Linked DNA regions of Xenopus tropicalis. The protein of the gene in region 1 interacts with the protein of each later gene in a pairwise test. Links are inferred from orthologs where the notes say so. Each region holds a gene or a part of one and is shown on either strand. Other genes may lie near its edges. The genes, in order: eif4enif1 and eif4e.

Region 1 (3,823 bases):
CCTAAGCTCAATAACCGACAGCAGCACAGAGCATGTACAGTGAATCAGCAGAAAAGAAAATAGGGAGCTACTGGGGCATCTCTGTAGGCACAGATCTTCCCTGCTAAACAGCTGAGGTCTCCTTGGGCTGGTACAGAAGCCCAAAACAATGTGCAACATTTCTGCCCTACTTCTTTAGTTAAGCTTTAATTCTCGTTTAAGTTTGCATGTTTTCATTAAGACCCATGTTCCTTTATCCTACCTGGGCATGGCCTGTTCTGAGTTGTGCACTTGCCTCATACAATAACATGAAGTCTTAAAGACACTAATTTGTAATAGTTTAACTCCCAATACCAATGTCTGTGCAATCTGGAGATTGTTGACATTGTTGTAACACAGAACAGATTGCCATTAGTCTACCTGTTGTTCCTGTCACAATAAAACACCTGAATTACTTTTCTTATGTTCAAAAAGTTATTTGTATCTATAAGTGCACTTAATGCTTTAAAGGAACAGTACTACCAGAAAATGAAAACATTTGAATTATAATATAATGTACTGCTGCCCTTCACTGGTAAAAGTTGTATGTTTGCTTCAGAAACACTACTATAGTTTATATAAATAAGCTGCTGTTTAGCTATGGGGGCAAATGCACAAATGGGAATCTGCTCATCCAATATGTTATTTGCTATGTAACCTGTGACTTTTCTCCTTTTTTCATTTTAAGTGCTACCTCCATGACTACACAGCCACTTTGTTTATATAAACTACAGCAGAGTTTCACACAACTTTTACTAGTGCAGGGCAATAGCACATAAATTACAGGTATGGGATCCCTTATCCGAAAACCTGTAATCCAAAAAGTTATGGAAATTTGGAATATGGAAAAGTTATGCAACTTATGGAAAGGCCATCTCCCATATACTTCATTATAAGCAAATAATTCTAAATTTTAAAAAAGGATTTCCTTTTTCTCTGTAATAATAAAACAGTACCTTGTACTTGATCTTAAGATTCAATTGAAAATTCCAGATTGAACCTAAACTAACTCCTGTAACCACTGTTGTCAGATTCCAAAAACTCAATGGTGAAGGCATGACAACACAGTAGGGGTAAAGGGGAAAAGAAAAAAGGCTCAATATACTTTATTGCATGAACTCTCACCTTCTCATGTGTAATGGCCAAACAAGATATGCGGTAAAAACACCAACCCACTGCAATTTAAGTCAGATTCCACTTGCCTTCCTTTCCTGTCCGCTTTCTTGTCCTCTTGCGGCCCTTGTGATCCTCTTCCAGGATTTTATCATCAAAGCCAGTAAGCTCAATTGTCTCCGACTGGCTAGTGGGACCCCCAGAGAACCACTCTGGTTCCTCCTCTGTACAAGAGTCATTTCTACGTCTCTCACCAAATACACGTTTACTGTCTCCATGCTCTCGCTATGGCAGAGAAGACAGAGGGGGGGGGGGGGGGAGGAAAAAAAATAAAAACATTTAGAGAAGCTAAAAACAACAAGTTAACAAGTCTGGCACATATCAAGCCTTAATTTCAGTTTAATAAACTAAATGGATTTAAAATATGAATCACTGCATTTGCCCTCCTCCTAAAGGTCATTAAGGATATGACCAAACCTTCAGGTCTGCCAACCTTGTCAACATTGGTTAGTAAAATGAAGTTGCACCTTTAGTTTTAGACTTCAAAAATGTATAGTTGGATGGCATAATGGTTACAGATTAAAAGGACAAGTCAACCAAGAATATAATTTGCCTAATAAAAGAAAAAACATTCCAAGAAACTTTGTACTTATATATATATATATATATATATCTGGCATTTGAAACAATGTCACACACACACACAAGGCAGCAGATTGACAGAACTGACTAGGAGGAGCCTGACCTATGCAACATTGTGTAAAAAGTAACCAGGAGTTCAGCAAATGCTGCTTTCAATAGCAATTACATTTACAAATAACTTTTAAAAGCACAGAAAATTTTTAATAAAATCATTGTAAAGTTGCTTAGAATTATATTCTTTTATTAGGCAAAAAATTATATTCTTGGTTGACATGTCCTTTAAAGCATTTTGCACAAACACTGATCCACAGAATGACAACTACAAAATATTTTATAAATGCTTTTCTAACATTTCCGACAATATGCTTTTTGAGGGTGGTTTTAACAAAAAGGCTTGTGGGAAAACCATAGGCACAAGTTTTAATACACGGTTTACAGGACATTTAGTACAGGTGCTCGATATAGATATATATTTGGGGGAAGACCTAATATACCAAAGTCCTCACTTAAATCTGAAATATGTTACAAGGCACATAAAGGCCATGTCAGAGTCTGAAGTTGGAGCTTTGCAAATCCCAGGTAACTGTATTAGAATAACACTGTCATCAAACCAAAAGGGTAATTTTAAGGTACACCACCACTCTTTAATGTGACATCACTCTTCCAGACCTCTTATGGGTTGTTAATCTATGTTGTGAGAGATGCAATGGACAACGATTATTTGTATTTCCACCAGTGTTAAAGGCGGGGTACAAGTAGCACCAGGTAAAAGGCCTGGTTTTGCAACAGGTAATACTGTGTTTAAGTTACTAGCTTAGAAAAAGCAAAATTAATAGGTCCCTGGAGTGAATGGAGGGAGAGCAGGAAAGACCTTCCATTCCAAACTCCAGTTAACGTTTTCATTTGGCCAGCTGTAGTGTAGCTGCCCGATTAGGCTGCAGGTGAGCAGCAAATAAAATGGCTGTGTGATTACACAGGGGGGTTGAGCAGGAGTGGGGCACAGGGCAGGAAGGCTGCCTGCCTGCGTAAGGAACTCCCAGAGGAGCTGGGGATGCCTCCTGCCACTGCGAGGAGCAGAGGAAGTCGTGACCAGATGGATGAGAGCTGGGAGGAGTCAGCAAGGCTTAAGGTGAAGCCTGAGCGTTCATGAGCGAGAGTTGCTGTGGATGTGTGAAAGTCACTGGGGACAGTGAGAAACCCCGTAAAGGTTCCAAAGTGTGGAAGTAACCTTGGAAGGTGAGAGCCCTGAAGAAGGGACAAATCATAACCCTGAACTGTTTTAGTTAGTTCTGTCTGTTTATTTAGGGCCAATTCTTCCCAACATCAACATGTGTTTTGCCTGAAGTTGCACCCCTTATGCTCCAAATCCTCTGCATGCCTGCCTACCATTGCTAATTCCCCAAAAATTATGTGTACAGGCAGTCAGCATGTCACATAGTATCATTTGTTTTAGAACAGGACTCAAGGTAAGGATATATAAAATAAAGGAAGTTTCCTTCTCTTAATTTCTTGATAAAGTCAACAGAACAGAGCACTAACTGGACAATGATTTTGTAAGAAACATTTATAGTCCTCGCAAACATCCAGTATTAAATCTAGCTGCCCTCCAGCACTTTTCAGCATACAACTAAAAATGATTGACTGCTATTTGGAGGAATTTTAGCTATCTTTATTAACAAATCAGTTTAATACACCTCATGTTAAAGTTACTTTAGATCAGGATGTAACATCAGCATTCCGTGATGCAAGGTTTACACACAAATCTTAAGACAGAAAACTTACCCTGAAGCGTTTGTCTTTGTATTCTTTTTCTCTGTCTCGCCCCTCTCTGGGTTCTCTATCGCCTCGAACATCTCTGTCAAACCCTCTTGCAGTCATAATTCTCCCGCTGCCAATTCGGCGAGACCCCAACATGCGCATGCTTTCATTTTCTTTGTTATCCAGTGGACTCCCTGACCGTCGTGAACTGGCAGCAGCTATAACATGGCATCCACCTCCAAAACTCCGTCTTTGAGGGCTAAGTACTACATCAAGATCATCTTCTTTAACA
Region 2 (3,923 bases), about 77 Mb from region 1:
AAATCATCACACTTAAAGCGCATTTTCGTGGAAGATGCATTGGTCCACATATACCTTGAGACTGTAATGGAGACATTATGAGAACACAGATTACTTTTTGAATGCTGCATTCCAGCCAGTGATCAAAATGCCCTTGTCTTCCAGCAGCCATTCAAATTCATTTAAATGGGAAACTTGATAAGACTATGGTGCAGCCAGGGACAGCTTACACTCACTCATGTTATTAAGTGATCCCCGTGTGAATGTGTTAGCTTATTTCCCAAATCTGGTCCTTGGGAGGTCCAAGAGGACTGAAATGCTCCATGTAACAGAATCAATACATTTGGGGGTAAAAAGTGTGTGAAAGGTTTTAGAAATAAACTAGCAAAATCACAAAGCAACAAGTGCTAAATAGTAGATTAAAGAATAGCTACTACATTTTTTCAGAATGTTATTTCCTTCATACTAAAGCCGGGCCAATAAGACTGCTCAAAAAAAAACAAAAAAAGAAAGCCTGTGGGTTGCAAAATCTGCTTGTTCTAGTGACCCCCCCCCCCCCTACCAATGAATGGATCTTTATGGATATAGCCATTCAAAACTGAAATACACCTGTTACAAAAAATGACAGACACCTAAGTATACAATAGACTGAATGGCCGCGAATGAGCACTTCTCAGCCAGTGGAGAACTGGAGGTCACTAGGATCGGCGCGACCCTTCAAAAATTTTCAACTGCTCCAGAACTCAGACTTTTTTGTATGACATCAGTCTTAAAATATTCATGCAGTATAGCATATGGCTGACCCACAACACTGAATACACACTGCTTTATTAAAAAAAAAAACTTTAAGCAACTTCAGCCTGTACGGATATTACAACCCAAAGCATTCCCACCACCACAGACTGCCTTGAGGAAAAAAAAACGCACCACAATATCATACGCACATAAATATTTCTACACATATATAAATATCTAGTTTTATAGCTGCAAGGAGAATTACTAGCACTTGCTGATGTCTGTAGCCAGTGTCTCTAACTATGCAACTGTTGTGGTACAGGTATGGGATCCCTTATCCGGAAACCCATTATCCAAATTACGGAAAGGCCGTCTCCCACAGACTCCATTTTAAGCAAATATTTCTTATTTTTAAAAAATGATTTTCTTTTTCTCTGTAACTATAAAACAGGACCTTTTACTTGATTCTAACCAAGATATAATTAATCCTTATTGAAGGCAAAACAGTCCTATTTGGGCTTATTCAATATTTAAATGATTTTTAGCAGACTTAAGTTATGAAGATCCAAATTACAGAAAGATCCCTTATCCGGAAACCCCCAGGTCATGAGCATTCTGGATAACAGGTCCCATACCTGTACTTGATTCTAACCAAGATATAATTAATCCTTACTGGAGGTAAAACAATCCTTTTGGGTTTATTCAATATTTAAATTATTCTTAGCAGACTTAAGTTATGGAGTTTCAAATTACGGAAAGCTCTCTTATCCGGAAACCCCAAGGTCCCCAGGCATTGGATTACAGGTCCCATACCGGTACCAATTTCTGTGCCCATTCTTCTAGTTCTAATTAAAAGCAATACTGTGCAGCCAGGGAGCCACCTAGTCATGTCACAATCCCTCAGTCACGCCAATTAAATGCAATGCCATTCTCTGTAGTGTTTCACAGCCATGACATGTGCATTCTTTGGCCATGCATCAGGTTTCTACTTATTACAACAAACGTGATTTTTACTGGGACGACACCATGTGATTAGACAAAATGACTAACTTCTTTCAATTTCAGGGACTGCAAAAGAGCTGAAAGATAAGTCACTAGATTCCCCTTGTGGGCTTTCTGCGTGTGATTATTGGCGACAAGGCCGGCCAGCTGCCCATGTGAGGGAAAGGAGACTTACAAGGAAGTGAATGTACAGACATATGCCTGCGCCTTTTCAATGAGTAAGGCAACGTGCAGTAGAAGCTGGAGGAGGAGGGGACACCCCTGCCATATTAACTTGTGCAACACGATGGGGGGCGGGGAGTTTATGAGAGAAGCAATACGGTATCGATGCAATAGTGACAGGTTAGCCGCAGTAACCAAACCCAACATGGACACGGCGCACTCGGACTGGAATGCCGGGACGCGCCCGTAAATGGCCGGTGCAGCCAAAAAGTCTCGCCTCCCTGTGTGTGCCCGCCACGCGGCCAGCCGGCTCCTCGTCACATGCTGACGCGCACACACATGTACAATAATGGAGGGGGCGGGAGCGCGCACGGGTGTCCCACACACACACACACGGTGTAAGTAGCAGCCATTCCCCTAGCAATGCGACCGGGACATAGGGTGGGGCAAAGATCGCGGCATCCCCTACGATGCCTGTAGCTGCAGTAAAAGCAGCCGCCGCCGCCTAGAACAGCAGAAACATGTTACTTTGGACTCCTCCCTCGGCTTTCTGAGCGCCTAGCGGAGACCTGGCCGCCCCCTTGCTTTAATAAGTGTCAGTCGCTCCGCCAAAGCAACATCTAAAACCATGTGCTTGTGGGTTTGCCTGTACACGAGTCACGCATCTACTCACCGGCTCCACAGACGCCATTTTAGATGGTTGTGACTGCACAGCCGCCGCTGGCAGGAAAGAAGAGGAGGTTAAAAAAAAACTACTTTCAAACCCGGTTGGTTTGGGGCGTGCCACGTGACGTCCGCCGACAGCTGAGTCTGCGTAGCCCCGCCCAGCAACCTGTAAAGAGGGAGAGGCCGCGCAAGGGGTGCTGGGAGTTGTAGTGTAAATGGTCGCTTGGGAACTACTACTATTACGATTTGGTTCTGTGTCACTTGCAAGGCATTGGTAGGCGGGCATCTGATCTTTCATTAACGTTGAAGGACACAAAGGAAGTGTATGTAAAGGTGCAACATATGCAGGGCAGCTGGTAACTTATGCCTAAAGTGGCCTTGGCTTCTGATGTGAATCACACCCAGTACTTTCAATACCGAGCACTTGGCTAAAGTTTAGTTCTTTCCTCAAACGATTAAGTAAACATCTTTTGCTAGCATTTCCTTTTGTAAAAATGTTCTGTTTTATTTTTAAAATCGCTTTCTGATTTGTATTTTCCACTTTTGTAGCTATATAATAAGATATAAACTTTATAATTCACCATGAGCAGTTAAATAATTATTTTGCCCTCACCAAGCTTTTATATCTCATCAGAGAGGTTTAGCCACAGAGCAGATCCAAGACTAATGGAAGCCCCTGTTTATACAGGGTGGGAACCAGGGGAACTCTGAATGATAAGCAGTTTCAGTATTGCTGTGGCATACAGAAAACTTATGTTACACTACTGTGCATCTATTTGACATTGTGGCCGCAGCCTTGAAGAACTGAATTATTAAAATTATTTACTTCTCACCCATAAATACACGTATTTCCCGAAACAAAATGACACCAGAAAATTGCATTATACAATTTAGGGTTACACCTAAAATTTAATTTCAAAGGTTTACAGAAGCTATCATACATCAGTAAGACTACTTTTGATGAATAACAACTATTATAACAGATGTCCAAAGCACCATATAGAATTATGGGTAGGGCTGGGCGATATACCGTTTAATACCGAATACCGGTGTTTTTTTTAAAAACTATATTAATTTTTCAGATACCGCAATACCGGGGTGTCAGGGTACTCACCCGTGCGGCCTGGTCTCGCACGCCTCCTTGCGTGTGCATCCTATTGTCCGCGGGACGTTGCACACGCGCGTCCAGGTGCGCGTGCGTCAAAGCGCACGTACATGTCAAAGCGTGCACGTCCGTGACGCGCTGATGGCGCCGGTTCTGCGTATGCGTGGGGGGTATTTAAAGCTATCAAACTCCTCCTCCTGTGCTATGTTGTCTGCGGCCTTGCCTGGGAAACTAAGCCTGCCTGATTTACCTTTACGACTTTCTGTTGGCGATC

What was found.
Region 2: the proteins of eif4enif1 (region 1) and eif4e interact in binary tests that used the Homo sapiens proteins (3 or more experiments, as listed by UniProt). The link is inferred for Xenopus tropicalis from reciprocal best matches to the Homo sapiens genes EIF4ENIF1 and EIF4E.

The regions. Positions count from the first base shown.
Region 1 is NC_030677.2:152,099,631-152,103,453, forward strand, and holds part of eif4enif1 (eukaryotic translation initiation factor 4E transporter), read right to left. Parts: coding exon 3,556-3,823; intron 1,417-3,555; coding exon 1,221-1,416; intron 1-1,220. UniProt on the Homo sapiens protein: EIF4E-binding protein that regulates translation and stability of mRNAs in processing bodies (P-bodies). Plays a key role in P-bodies to coordinate the storage of translationally inactive mRNAs in the cytoplasm and prevent their degradation.
Region 2 is NC_030677.2:74,891,094-74,895,016, reverse strand, and holds the start of eif4e (eukaryotic translation initiation factor 4E), read right to left. Parts: upstream 2,576-3,923; 5' UTR 2,570-2,575; coding exon 2,552-2,569; intron 1-2,551. UniProt on the Homo sapiens protein: Acts in the cytoplasm to initiate and regulate protein synthesis and is required in the nucleus for export of a subset of mRNAs from the nucleus to the cytoplasm which promotes processes such as RNA capping, processing and splicing.